Linked DNA regions of Drosophila melanogaster. The protein of the gene in region 2 interacts with the protein of the main gene of each other region in a pairwise test. Each region holds a gene or a part of one and is shown on either strand. Other genes may lie near its edges.

Region 1 (8,054 bases), 6.9 Mb from region 2:
AGGGAGGTTTCACCGGCTCCCGTCTTCAATATATTCACACCTCGAGCCAGAAGGTATTCGGCCAGCTATAGTCCACTGACCACGGCAGCCAATGGAGCCACTCTCTGTCTCACGCCTCGAGTTTCGCAGCTGCGGCAGGAGGAATGCGCAGATCTAAACAGCCGGGAGGTTAACCATGAGCGGGAAGTTCATCGGGAAATACAAATTTCGCAGAGCTGGGAGGATCTCACGCTGGTGGCCGAGAACTGGTCGTGCAAATCGGACGAGTTCTCCAATCCCCTGCAGGTCAGCCTGCCACCCACCGGCACCACCAGCTGCTCCAGTCCCAGTCCCACAAACAATCGCGCGGGCATGAGATTACCATACTCCCCGTCGCCGACGAGACGTACTTTCGCCACCAGGCGGTCGATGTCTCCCATAGCCATGAGGCCATCCCAGCTGGGACCCGTGAAGAGAAAATTTGAGCTGGACGATAACCCCACTCAGGGCAGCAACTGGAGCGTGTACTCACCTCCGCCTGTGAAGAAGATATTCACGGAAAGGTAAGATATTGAGTAGTGGGTTTTGAACCTAAGTAATTCTGGGTGGTATCAAGTTAAGTAACTTGACCTTAGTGGGTTGATTTTGGAAAAATAGTCACCTCAATCATTTGTACTCAGTAAAATAGGCTTTATTGCACCTAAAACATCAGTTTTGTTAGTATTTTAGCTCGAATTTGCTTGAAGTCTAAAATTATATTACTTTGGGCCTCTTGTAAAATTTAAATTTAGATATTTTCGGCCAAGTTGCAGTTGTTGAAGCGGCTATAAATAATAGCTTTGAGGTACGAGTAGCATTAATTTAATTATATTAGATTGGCAATAGTATATGTGCAAGTAAGTGTGTTACTTGCTGAATGATTCGAGTAAGGGTAAAATTAGATGCTAGTACGAACATTTATCTATGTTTTCATGCTTATTCATCACTTCCCCTTCCCATTTCAGTCGCGGCTCCTCACCGGTGTGCCAATCGCCCTCGTCGGTGTGTCCCAGTCCCGATTCCGGAACCTTTGACGGCCGCCTCACGCCCAAGTTGTTCATCTCGAAGCTGTGCACAAGCAATTCGGTGAGCGGAAATGGGATAAATAACAATAGCAGCAGCTCGGGATGTCCGTCGCCTGTTTCCGCCTCGCCCGGAGGTGTTGGCAGCGGTCCCAATCTGGAGGCAGCCATGTGCCTCGTTTCCGGCGGCAGTCAGAGCCAAAGCATCGACGAGGGTATCTCGATACCCGAATCGGAGACGCACTCCTGCCGCAGTCGCACCTCTTCCATAGTGTCCACCGCATCGTCCAGTACGCAGGTGCTGGTCAACGACCTGGTGGATGATGCCACTCTGATGGACGATGCCAAAAGTGAGACCTCATCGATCGGTGGATGCTCCACCATTAGCATAGAGTCATCCTCCTGCGATAGTGGTGCCAAGACGGCTGCCACTTTCCTGAATCGCCTGGTGGTTGATTCCGATGGCGGTGGTTCGCCGCTGGCCCAAAAGAGCTTCTACATTAACAAGCAGGGATTGTCGGGCGCCAAGAAGTTTGTGGTCAATCACGAGCGAACGGGAGCCGTCAGCAAAGATGTGCCGCAAAAGCTTTAAGAACATACACAGATTAACTTAGTTTAGGGGTCGATTTTAGGAAATTCTAAGAAATGCTTATAATCTCAGGAGCCAAAAGTTAATCATTGCTGCACTTTAGCTGATTTGTTTTGAATGCTTTAGAAAATATTTTCGAATAAAATTGCATAGCTTGATCATTTTTAAGTTCTAAAACTCAACCAAAGGTTTTGTTATAAAAACCACAAGCAATATTTTTTTAGAAAGAAAATTGAATTAAGAATACCTTTGGTGTAATATGTAAAGGATTAAAAATGGTTTAAAATGTATATTTCCCGTAGTGTTCAAAACAAATCTTCGTGGAAGAGACAAAAGATAAATTAGTGGTACTTTGATTTTTGTTTAAGAAAATCGACCCGAAATAACCAATTACACACACACGCTTAAGTTGAGAGTTTCAAAAGATCCTCCGACTTGCTTAACTTTAGATCGTAGCTTTGTTGTACATAGTTAAGTTGTTTGTCTGAAGTTCTAAACCATCTTGCATATCATTTAACGCTGCGCACTTCCCTTCACCCCTAGAATCAATCGGTTTTAATATGTTAGCCTAAGGTTCACTATACTATATATAGCCAGAGTTTATTGCCTCGATCTTTGTGTTATAGAATGTTTTCCCATTTCCAATGTTTCGGTTAATAATCGACGTACATTAGTTTTGTTTTTAGTCGCCACCTCACCCCTTAGATATTAGGAAGAAAACCCCAATTTTGCCAAATATGTTTATTCTATGCTTATGTGTAATAATATATCCAGCATTATATTGCCTATAATGTGATCCAATTTAGCGCGGATATCTGCGCGTATCCCACAAAAACCTTACTGATATAGTAACGCATATATTATATAGATTTACGATCCGATTCTAATTATCGTAAGCGAATTTACATAGTTTCAAGAAAAAAAGTTATACTTAAAAAGGATCCAAAAAGAAATACACATTTTTTCAATTGATCAAATTGTTTGTTTTCATTGGTTGGCTTAAACAATTAACTACTATATAAATAATTAAATAAATATGTTAACTAGATTATAAATAGCGACTTAAGTAAAAAGTATCTCGCGGGCAGTGAACTTGACCATATTTTATGTACATAAGATACTAAACCTAAAGCAAGAAAGTGCCTATTCAAAATGAGTATATTTCAGATAGAAAATGCACAATTCCTACGGCCATAGCATTCATTACTTTATAAATATTAAAAGCAGGTATAATTTATATTATTATATATACAACTTTTATGAGTATGCCTAGAATAACGTCGCCCAGCGTAATATCGTGCCAGCCACATGAAGCACCTGCAAGCTCGAGTAAGTATCCACATACACGATATGCACACACACGCACCGAAAAGTTCGAACACCTGGGTAATGAGAAGCCGAGCATTGCTCCCCAAATCCCCAATCCCCATTCGCAAACAGCGACATACTGGTTTCCCCACACAGATAGGACACAATGCACATGGCCAGATGCTCGTGCCTTGAACACGGACGAACCAATCCCGCAGACCAGAAGATAGAAGCCAGGGACCGAGACCGACCGAGACCGATAAACCAGGCCGTTTCCACACGGACCAAGTCGAGTGGGTGTCTGTGGACGTGTGAGGGGATCCGATACAAACGAGTTTTATAGCAAAAAAAAAAAAAAAAAAAAAACAACAAAATAAGATAACTAAGCGCTGCAGTCACGATCGCCAATATTTCGAGACCGAGAGACCAAAGCAATCGGGAGCCTAGCCCAAAGCATTCGAAGCGGATCTGGGAACCTGGCTCCATATATCACAGGGGCAGAACCCCACTACCCACGCCAATGGAATACAAATTAGAAGAAAACACGCTATCCTAGGCAGCCAAAAGTGACTCAAAAGTGATTATATAAGTCGGATGCGAAAAAATATAAAGGTGAGTTTGTCTCTTCCTGTTTAAATATGGTTAGTTATTTAGAATATGTATGTATGTATAAGATTATCTCTTAATTGCTGAATGCTTTAAATTTATTTAATTTTATTTGAATTTAATAATTATTTAAATCACAGGATGAAGGATGAGAAACATGTTTACGTTTTCAAAATCGAAAACTAGTCAAATTTGTCGTATATGGCTTATCGTAAAGGCTTATACTAAACAAAACGCGAATATTAGTAATTTTTCACCTGCAAGCCATTTTTTAACACTCCATAAAAAACGATCGCGGGTTTTCAGGCATTTATGGGCATTTTACCGAAGATCGCCCTGAAAATGGAAAATAACCAAAGAAGCGGCCAATAATTAAAGTCAATTACTTAGATATATGTACATATGTACGAAGGTACATATGTATATACTTGCATAAAAAGGAAACCAACAACAAAAAGCTAAAAATAAGAAGAAAAGCAAATGCGAATAAAAAAAGTTGAAGGCGCACGGTTTTACTTTAGCGCTGCTGCTCGGACGTCAATAAATTTTTTTTCGACGTCGACGTTGACGTTGACAGCGGCGTTGGCGCTGGCTACGCCGTTGTTGTTGCCTTTTACGCTTTGGTCACGCTGCTCCCTTTTCGTTGCTCCTCTACCCCCTCCCACCGCGCTCTCGCCATGCTTCCGTACTCCCACTCGCCCACTCTCTCGCCCACCTCCCCCTTGATATCACTCTCCAGCTCTCTTTTCGCCTCTCTGCACGGGCGTAAGCATTTGCGTCGAAGGGGGTTATTTGCCCCAACCACAATAAATACTTTAAATTTTTAATCCTACATTATCGTTCCTATTTAACAAAAAGCAAATTATCTTTTTTTTGGCATTTCATTGAAGATTAGATCGTTGTTATATACAAGTATATATAGTAAGGAATTCCTTTCACTCCTGGTAACCTCACCCCTTCTCATGTCCTGCCTACGCCCCTGCTCTTGTGAGCAATCTTGAAAATCGTGAGTTGTTGTTGCTGCTGCGCCTGTTGCTCCGGCTGTAATTGCATTGTTTTTGTTGTTGCCCTTGTTGTTGTTGTGGGGCATTTTCTTTGTTTTTCGTGTTTCGCTCTTGCGTGGCCCCAAGAAAAATCAAGTTAACACGCCAATGGGCAGTGGTGGGAAAGGGGGGCTAAAGGCTCACGTTCGTGCACACAAAAAAAAAGCCTTAAGCGCTGCCCACATGGTTGTTGTTGTTGTTGCTGCTGCTGCTCTGCTCGCTTCGCTGATTCACAAGCCGGGCAGCGCAGTCGGCGTCAACTCGAAGCTCGACTTTTGCGGCGTTTTGTTGTTTTTGCCGAGAGGTTGCTGCTCGGCAAGCCGCAAATCGCGAATCGCGAATCCAGTTTCTTCTTCACTTCTTCGCACGGCAGACGCAGCGCCGAGCGCACAAATTGCGGATAAAAAACGAAAGAAAGGAGCGAAGCTTTGTAAAGTGTGAGAGAGGGGTGTGTGTGCAATCGCAGAATTCATTCGATCGGAATCTCCTGGGTTATCAATGGTTCGTATGCGACTTGTCCAGGATATTAATATAAACCAATACAGGCTATTCAATGTGATCGATGGAAATGTAGTGCCCTATAATATATTCTTTTTTTATGGTTTGAGAGGTTTTATTGTGATTATTCGATACTAGAAAGTACGCTTCTTGGAAATACTGATAAGTGCCGATTTATCCATAGTAGAATGTGATTTATATAAAACACGCCTACATGTATGCAATGTTTTTTTCTGATAGTACAATGATAGTGCAATTCTTACGTTCCTTTCTTAAACTTTTCTAAATTGTTTATTGTAACATTGCAGATTTGATGGAGCTGGCTCTGAATAAACCATCATCCTGCGTGGACTGCTGCAAGGACTGCACTCTGCTGCCCTGCTGTTCTGCCTCCGCCTGCTGCGACGCTAGCTGCGACGCCGCCTGCGGGTTAATACCGCCCGATCCAGTCAGATATGAGTACCAGGAGCCCGAGGAGAACTTCATATCCATTGATGATGTGAAAATCAAGAGTTTCCTGTGGCAAATCGGCCAGCAGCAGAGGGAAAAGGAGTTGGAAATCAAAAGGATCATGGAACAAGAGAAAAGGGAGAAAAGAGAGAAGGAAAGGCGGGAGGCCGAAAAGCGAAGAGATCAAGAGGTAATCGAATTGGACGAGGAGGAGGCTCAATCTCCTCGGGGTCTCATAATCAGCGCAGCCAGGAGTCTAGCCCATTGGAATTCATCCATTAGGAGGGTAACACCAGATATCGAACTGATTCCCAGACGGGTGCACAGGGTTGTCGCAGAAATCGAACTGAGTGATAGTGATCACGATGAAGATAGTGAAGTAGATGAGGATGTAAGTCTTCCATCAAACGCTGTAAGCTGCGTCCTGAATGAGCAGAGACAGGATGGAAGCCAGAATCCACAGGAACTGGTGATCATCGTGCCCTCCGACCAGGAGGACGAACAGAAGACAGACAATGTCATCAAGAGGAAATCTTCTGGGTCGAGGAGATTAGTAAAGAGGCGTCCAGGTGCCAACAGAAGGGGAAGGCATATGTACGAATGTCCTGACTGCGGGAAGAAAGTGCAATCTAATTACAATCTAAGACGTCATATGATGATCCACACAGGTACGAAACTTCGCATAAAATATTCAAATACCTCCACTTATCACTTTCTACTAAATTTTCCCCAGGTGAAAGACCATTCCCTTGTGATCTGTGCGAGCGACGTTTTCGGGAATTCAGCGATCTTAAAAAGCATCGTCGAAGGCACTCACACGATCCACAATTCATTTGCATGATCTGTCACTTGGGAGCACCTTTGGAGCAGGACTCTACAAGGTGTGCGGATTGTGAAAGCAAGAATCTTATGGTAAAACCTCAACCAGAGGAACTGGGCGAAAAAACAACGGAGGAACATTCGGATGAGATGGAAGGGGATGATGACGAAATAGAGGAAGCGGCTCTAGAAAATGAGAAGCAGCCACAAGTGGCAACACAACCCAGTTTAATGGTTACTTTAATACCACCTATTCAATCTCCACCGGAAAAAGTTCCTTCACACACGCAGCCAAGTCGCCCGCCACTTCCTCGCAGCTGCAGCAGTGCCAACTCCTCATCTTCCTTGAGCAACGATGGAAATATAGCTGGAAAGTCCATGAGTCGCACTCGCAGATCTTATCCGTGTCCTTTGTGTCATCGTCCTTTCGGAACTCGTCATAATCTTAAACGCCACTATATGATCCATACTGGCGAGAAACCATTTAGCTGCTCAAAATGCAGGAAACCCTTCAGGGAGTGCTCCACGCTCAAGAAACACATGGTCACCCATGTCAGGGATCGCTGGTACAAGTGCCTGAGGTGTCCCTCCAAATTCAGGGACTATCTGGAGTACTCGGATCACAAGAACAATCATCAGGATCAGCTGAGTAGCCGCAAGTCGTCCATTTACGAGAGTGACGACGATGGCGACAGTTCTGTGGAAGATTGCCTAGAGTGCTGCGAGTGTCAGCAACGATTCACCGAGTTGGATGCTTATACGGCCCATCTTAAAAAGCACGACTTGGAGTTGTACGGGATGAGCATTGATGATGTGGCGGACGAGGAGCAGGATGACGTAGATGTGGCATAGAAAATGTTTTGAGCCCACAATTAATATTAACTGCGCGAGAGTTGTAAACTCTTGGTCATTCTTTTTAATGCATAAAGAGGATTGAAAATCCCATATTTCATATAAATTAGCTATTAAGGATCATTAAAACATTCCTTATTAATATATTCATATCTTTTTAAAGTGTTTTATATCACTATTAATTTATTCATTCATATTCTTTTTTAAGCACTTATAATACACTTTTGAAATGTAAAATGTAACGTGCGCCATAATCCAAGAACTGAATGATGAGCTACAGCAAAAATTCCTAAAGATGTACTTATTTATAAATATAATATTTTTATTAAAAAATAAACGAGTTAAGTGCACAAGAGACGGTGAAATATACAGAAGACAGTCGTCAACCTGCCGGGGGTCGAACAATTACAAAGATTGAGCTAAAATCGATTGATGTAAACGTTAACTACAAAAATAAATAGTAAAAAGCGTAAGCGTAGGAAAAAGTGACTAAGATTGGGGCGCTTGAAGCGGGAGAATCCACATAGTGACGATCTTTAGATGTCCAGCAGCACAGGCTTGGTTTCCTTGGCGCACTTGAACACCGATCGCATCATCTTTAGGAATCCTGTGTCTTTGGGTTTCTCCAATCCGCGCTGCACGCGATTCTTCATTACCGAAATAAATTCCTTGTTGCTGAGTTGGTTGTCATCTGAAAGAGGTTTGCCGAATGAATTAAGATTGTTATTCTAATTACACTCAATTACGAACTTACTATTCTCATCAAAGATGGTAAAGACCACATCCACCACATGATCCGAAAGATTGACCATGGCCACCGTTTTGGCCACATGTTGCAATGTTTGTTGG
Region 2 (7,119 bases):
TCGAGCGAATGAACTGAGAAATATGTCTGTCACATACGTCATTATTAAATGATATTGAAAGGCTTTCCCTCTTGAAGAAATAATGGCATCGTTTGGCGGTGATAAACGCAAACTTACCTACGACGGGAAAGCGGACGGGGTGTACCCCGCCTGGCTGCAGGTTACGCTTATCTGCCAGCGTCATGATTTGCTTTTAACTAAAAACTAATTCCGGCAAATTTGTCGCTCTGAATAATGTAAATGACTTTCGCAAACGGAGCTCCCGTCGCCGGCTCTTCAGCTTATTTCTACAGGTCTCTGTCCGCAATTTGCCGGCACCGTGCGAAGCGTAAAGCGGAAATGACTACGGCGATTATCTTAATTGCTTCTCACGCTTCGCGCTCAGCACTCACGCGCAGTTCGCCGCCCACTCAGTGCCTCCCAATCCTACGGGTCCCTTGGCTGCTAATCCTTTTGGCTCTGCCAGAAATTTGAATTTTAAGAAAGCTCATTATGTCCAAAGAGCAGGGGCGGGGCCGCAGGATGCTCGTGATAATTTTAGCCAGCTCAAACACAGTTATTGATTTTCGAGGTGCTAATAAAATAAAACTCAGCCCAAATGACACTTCTTAGTAAGTTATGAAAAGGAATTATTTGTTGAGAAAATTGCTGATTTCAAATCTATTTTCTTTCATAGAAACAAGCAACAAAAACATAGGTTTTGACTTTTGCTTTATAGTTTGCTGTATATTAAGTACTCCACGCGCTATCTGTCAGATGATTTTGTCTTATGTTAAAGGGCACAGATCAGATAGTTGTAAGAACCAGATGGGGAAAATACATTTTTTTTTTTAGATTTACAAAATTTATTCCTAAGGATACCAAAATAGGTCAGAGCTCTATATTCAAAATCCAGCTAATTCCACAGTCGCTAATTGTAAAAGTATGAGCAACAAGCAGTCGATCGACTCTCGCCGTGGATCGCACAATAAGCGAACCATACGCACCTCTGATATCGGGACTCTGGACACTGATATTATCCACACACCATACGAGTTAATGCGACAAAGGAATTGCAAAGCGGAAAAAATCATTAAATGGGAGCGGTATCCCAGCATTCGACCTCCAGTATCCAAATGCAGTAACGACCAAACCAGGAACTATCTGTCGGAGTCAGTAGATCAGGGAGGCTGTTTGGATCCCAGTACTAAGGGACAGGACGCTGTCAGGATCTGGAAATTAAGCCCGCACAAGAGCACTCTCAAGTTCTATGGAGTGGCCGATGGACTAAAGTTACCAGAGGCTGTTAAATTCGACAGGACTTTGACAACCAGCTTAAAACATGCAAACGGCTCCAGGAGACCAGTTCCAAAGCCACCGGTTCCACTAGAGCCAAAAAGACCTCCACAACCAGTTTCCCTGTGTCAGCCATATATCCTTAACAGGCAGACCCTCAAGGAGGAGCTTCAACGAATGCCCATTGCACTCCAGAAACTTAATCCCAAGGAGGCTTTTAATACGCTTTTTTGCGAGAAGCGTGAAGATCCGATGGATCCTCTGGGAGTGGAGGCGGCAACTAATCAAATCGTTAGCCTTAGAGAAGCTCTGGATATGGCGAAGCCGGAGACACCTTCAAAGCACGGATTGCGACGTAAGCACTGGTACTGCCCTTCAAAGTGTGGTGAGCCGGAAAACAAGTGCACTGTCTTTGAGTGGGCCCAGTACAAATTGAACCCGCCACCCTATGACAAAGCATTCTTCAAGTGGTTCCAGGAGCAGAAAGTGCAACTGGAGAGAGAGCCGCACGACTATGATGAGCTGTATAAGCGGTTCCAAGCCTGCTTCGAGGAAAAGGGTCAACCAGATCCCGAATGTGTTGCCATGGCGAAGTGTTGTCCGGATATGATCAAGGAAACGAAAGATGAATATGGAGTCGGAGAAGGGGGCACTGGCGGTGGAGGCGGCACACACAACACAAAAGAGGGTGATGGCCAAACGGGTTCTGGTGTATCTGGTCCTGAAGGTGTATCTCAGTCGGGAAAAGACAAAGAAAAAGGAAGGGTTAAGAAAAGTGACGATCTTGGAGATACTGAAAAAGATAAGGAAACCGATAAAAGTAAGAGCACGGGGAAAGATAATGAGAAGAATAAGGAGGACAAAGAAAAGGAAAAGGATAAGGGCAAGGATAAAGTGAAGGACAATGAAAAGGAAAAGGATAAGGGCAAGGATAAAGTGAAGGATAAAGACAAGGATGCGGACACTGATAAGGGCAAAAGCACAGACGAGGATAAAGGCAAACACAACGCTAAGGATAAAGACAAGAGCAAAGAAAAGGATAAAAATAACGATACGAATCAGAACAATAAAAAGAAAAATATAGCTGATCCTGATCATGAACAACTGAAGCCCAAACATCCTGGCAAGCAACCGAAGCCGCCGATCGAAAACACAACAGATACGTCCACTCACAACATATCCTCCTTTATTTCCAGGGATTCAGACAAAATATCGATTCAGGAAGATATTATCAAGGAGAAAGGAGATCCTTCAGCTAAGGATGGAGTGGAAGACAAGCCGACACAGCCGTCAAGTACGAAACCGCATAACAAGAAGCCGGCGAGCAAGAAACCACCAAAGGGGAAAACAGGCGAGGAAAAGCCCCAGAAGGTTGACGAGAAGGAAGTTAAAGAGTCCTGCCCACCTTGTCCTCCAGTGGGCTGCGCGTGCACAATTTGCGACTGCCTCTATGGCACGAAGATTCCAATTTCCCCGAAGATGCAATCGATTATGGCCGAGGAAAAACTTCGCGAAAAGAGGGAATACCTTCGGCGGATGCGGCACCGGGCGTACATGGATTGCACTAGTGAAAAGCCACTGGTCCCCCAGCACAAGGTGGATCCCATCAGCTGCGACAACTGCTTCTGTCTAGATCCCAAGATATCCGAATACTGTGAGTGCTTGAGAGCTCTTCAACACTTGCAGCGGCTCCTTGGAAAGGAACGTCATAGGATCGTAAACAACGAGCTTATATTCAACCTCGATGATCTCCGGCAGCGAATCGCCAACCGTATGTGCAAGTGCTTCTGAGAACTGTTTTTTTTTTGGTCAGTATAATTGGCTTGTAAGTGTATTTTTCAAAATTTGACAATTGAGTAATAAATATTCCCTAAAAAAAAGCATTTGGAAACCCTGTTTTATTATTAGAGGTCACTAAGTTTATGGAATGTAAATTCCTCAGTCGGCTCTGAAAGCCCTTTCAAAGGAAGATGCTGATATTTTTTGTAAGCCATTCTCAGTATTTTATCATGTGTTCAGCAAACAACACCTAAATTTAAAAAAAAAGCCTGTTTTATTTTGGTTCCCAGATTGAGCTTAACCGTATTTAACCATTAAACAATATTGGACCCGAATCGGATAAACACTCCAAGCTTGGGGAATAAGACGATACCGCAATGATGGGCACACGGGCTGCGGAGCCCCGAGGATCCAGGAGGTCCTTGGCAGGTCAAAGCATTCAAGAGCTCTCTGTGTGCCAGGAACCCGACCCGCTAAACACCTTTTTGGAGAAACCACTTACCCTGTATCAGTGGATGCGGTGGCGCAACTGCAAGACCCATAAGCCGCACCTAGAGGAAACATACCCCAGCATTCTACCGCCTATATCCAAATGTGACGATGCCAAGACTCTGAAGTACGTTGAAAATGCCATGGAGGCCAACAAATGTAAAGAATACGTCAAGGAAGACGTGCTGACCGTGTGGAACTACAGTCCCCAAAAGGAATCCTTGGTGTGGTATGGCGTTAAATCGCAGTACCCGTCTCCACAGGCCGTCCTCTATGACCGCGCTTTGAAAAAGAGCCTAAAGGCGGCTAGTCTTGCTCCAAAACCGCCGAAGAAGTCCAACATAAAGCCTAAATGGCAACTTCAGAAGAAGCCCCCCCAGCCTGGCGCTTTTGTTTTAAATCGAAAATGTCTGAAGGCCAAGCTCGAAAGGATGCCAAACATAAAACGCCAACTGAAGTCGAACAATGTCTTCTCCTGGCTTCACTGTCCTCAGCCAGCGGATCCGAGCAATCCTTTTGACGATAGCGCCGTCTATCCAGCGATCAGCATAGAACAGGCGATGGACATGGCGAAGCCGGAAAAGCCTCCCAAACATGGCCTCAGACGTAAGCATTGGTACTGCCCCCCGAAATGCGGCGAGGCAGAGAGCAAGTGCACCGATTACGAGTGGGCAAAGTACAAGATGGATCCCCGGCCCGACAACGAGGCATTCCAACGCGAGATGGCGAACCAAAAGGCCTTTAAACAACCGGAGCCCCGCAACTACGATGAACTGTACAAATCGCTGGTAACTTGTTTCGTTCAAGACCCAAATGGAAAGAATGATCTCTGCGAAGCGCTGGAGAAGTGCTGCAGGGATCCCAAAGATCCACCTGCACAGGGTTGCAGCGAGTTCGTTCCGGATGGCGCCGGAGGAGATGGTGAGTCGGCAGTTGATAAGGACAAGGGTAGGGATAAGGACGTGGACATTGACATACACGTGGACATTGACAAAGACGTGGACATTGACAAAGACAAGCGAAAAGACAAAGGGAAAACGGGTGATGGTGACAATGAAAATGAAGGTATCGGCGACGGTGACGGTGAAAAAGGTGGACAGAACGATAAGGGCAAGCACGAAAAGGGTGATGGAGAAGGAAACAAGGGATCTGAAAAAGATGGAGGGGAAAAAAAACCGGCAAAACAGAACGAAGTCAAAGAAAACGACAAGGAAAAAGGCATGGAAAAAGGCAAGGAAAAAGGCAAGGAAAAAGGCAAGGAAAAGAAGACCAAAGAGCCAAACTTTAGATCCTCTGAGGACCGTCCTCCAGTGCCCCAAAGTAAAGATACTACTCACGGGACCGAAGAAAGTCACCATGGTGACGGCGACTTCGGTGGTCCTGATGGCGATAGAGAAAAAGGCAAGAACCAGCCTGACGGGAAAAGCGGTATCGTAGATCAAAACCAGGGAAAAGACAAGGACAAGGGCAAAGGTAAGGAGAAAGGCATGAATAAGAAGGGAAAGGGTAAAAAGAAACCGAAAGATAAGGATGAGGATAAGAATACCAAGGACAACCGGAGTGAAAAGGACTGCCCCTGCGAGATTTGTTGTCCGCCAAAAGAAGAGGACACTCCGCTGATCAAGGAGATGCGCCGGCGGGATCGAGAGCGCCAGGTGCGCGATTACCTCCGCCAAATGCGTCACCGGCAATACATGGAGTGCAAGGACCTCAAATACCCGAGCCCACACCATAAGTGTGATCCAATCCAGTGCAACAACCAGTTCTGTAGCAATCCACGTATGCAAACTCATTTCGCCAGAGTCCAGGCAGTGCGAAGCTTGCAGCAGATCCTGCAGAGAAGAAATCGACAAGGCGATGTCAAAATCTCCAAGGATCTGGACTCACTTTTAGCAAGGCTGTGCAATAGCCTGACAATAAGTGATGGTCACTGCAGATGACCCCGCTTCGACTGTGTTTTGGTGATGTCTAACGAGTCCGAGTCCGCATTTGTAACTTGTGCCTAAGTTTTTGTGTCATAACGGTATTGTGCTAATTTAAAGCGATCTTAATTGCGTCCTTTAAATAAACTCGAATCCCAAGCTGAGCCCTGGACTAGTAGTCAATTCATTAATGCACACAGCGAAGGCGGGGTCTCTGCTCTTAAATGTATGCTATGCTTTTCGTGGCTTTCTGTTAATCACACATGGGCCTGCGAGTGTGTGTTTGGGCGTGGTCAGCGCCCACCAACTCGTGCGAGTAATTAATGAATGATTCCTTGCCAAAGGGTTTTTCGTTTCGAGACAGACAGCTTTTCTCATTAATTCTGATAAAGCTGTTTCGTTGGCAACAACACAAATTTTCTTAACATTTATGTACCCTAAATGTGTATGATTGAATTGTTACTCTACCACTCTACACTCTACAATTTCATCTATCCGAATATTGGAAATAAGTTCATTTTAAACCAGATAGTTTAACCTACAAAACTGGCCTATCTTTTATTCACGCCTTATTTAGCGGTTAGGTTTGTAGAGCGTTGTCAACATTCATTGTTTAAATTCCTCCGGTCCCGCAAAGACCGCTTTCATTTCCAAACTTTTCCGGCGCTGTTAGTTTGCCTCGGGCAAACTGAAAGGAAAACCAAACTCATTTGCCTTTGGCCTTGGGCCTGCCGCGCTCCACAGCAACAACTGCAACTATTATCGGGGCCGCGAGCGGTGGGCGTTGCCCTAGGAGGACCAACATGATTTATGCATGGCGAAAAAGCGGCTCTGACGCCCAAGGATTTCCCCATTGGAATAATTGCCCTAATGGCTGGGACCAAGAAAAAAGAGGAGCAGCGTTTGTAGGACTTTAATTTCATAATGTGCCGCAAATTGTCCAGATGGAATAGTGAAAGTTTCGAATGACTTCTTCAGGGCCAAGCTGCTTACATAGAATGCTGGTCAATTGCACAAAAGCAGGAGTCGAACCATCCTTGCCTTCTCATTGCTAAGATATATGTGTGTATTAGCGTCATGGAAAAAAGAGGTATTCCGAATCCGCACAACAATAAATGGAAAATTGTGTTAAGCTGAAAAAGCGTGACAGCCGTGAAGGCGCAACTAACTATGGAAAACTCTTGCCAAACGCACACATTACAATGGGGATACTGATTCCTATTCCGATTCCGGGCCCGGCGCACGTGACTTGGTTAGGAAATCTAAACGGGGAATTGGGCGGGTTCACCCTTGCTCCCATCCTCTGAAAATATCTTCACATACCTGACCCAGTAATTGGCTTTCCAAGAAGGCCAGGTAGCAGTGAGAAGCATTTACCCAAAAGATTAATATTGCCCAAAAGATTAATATACACTAGCTATACTTTACTATGGTATTTGTGTGCATCGCGAAAAAGTAACAACCGCCTACATTGCTCAATTTACGTGCTTAAAACAGAGACTTATTTCTTTTTTTATTTTTGCATTTCAGAAGTTTGTGGTTGCTGCGGTAAATGCTGCTGCTCAAGGAAGAAGGGAGGAGAATCCTGCGAAGTAAAGCCCATTATGACAAGGACGGATGAATGCGATGGTAAAATCAGCGAAGAATGCTCTCT

The links. Proteins that work in one complex are often made in the same cells at the same time.
Region 1: the proteins of CG43755 (region 2) and CG4496 interact in a two-hybrid assay, tested with the Drosophila melanogaster proteins (one large-scale study listed by BioGRID).

What each region holds. Positions count from the first base shown.
Region 1 is NT_033779.5:7,184,980-7,193,033, reverse strand, and holds CG4496 (uncharacterized protein), read left to right. Parts: upstream 1-3,023; 5' UTR 3,024-3,549; intron 3,550-4,965; exon of another isoform or gene 4,966-5,087; intron 5,088-5,392; 5' UTR 5,393-5,397; coding exon 5,398-6,202; intron 6,203-6,267; coding exon 6,268-7,205; 3' UTR 7,206-7,554; downstream 7,555-8,054. Other genes in the region: CG4497 (uncharacterized protein), read left to right, coding at 1-542, 984-1,632; MICU1 (mitochondrial calcium uptake 1), read right to left, coding at 7,742-7,896, 7,960-8,054.
Region 2 is NT_033779.5:325,938-333,056, reverse strand, and holds CG43755 (uncharacterized protein), read left to right. Parts: upstream 1-3,295; 5' UTR 3,296-3,431; coding exon of another isoform or gene 3,432-3,434; coding exon 3,435-5,483; 3' UTR 5,484-5,628; downstream 5,629-7,119. Other genes in the region: CG31921 (uncharacterized protein), read left to right, coding at 925-3,066.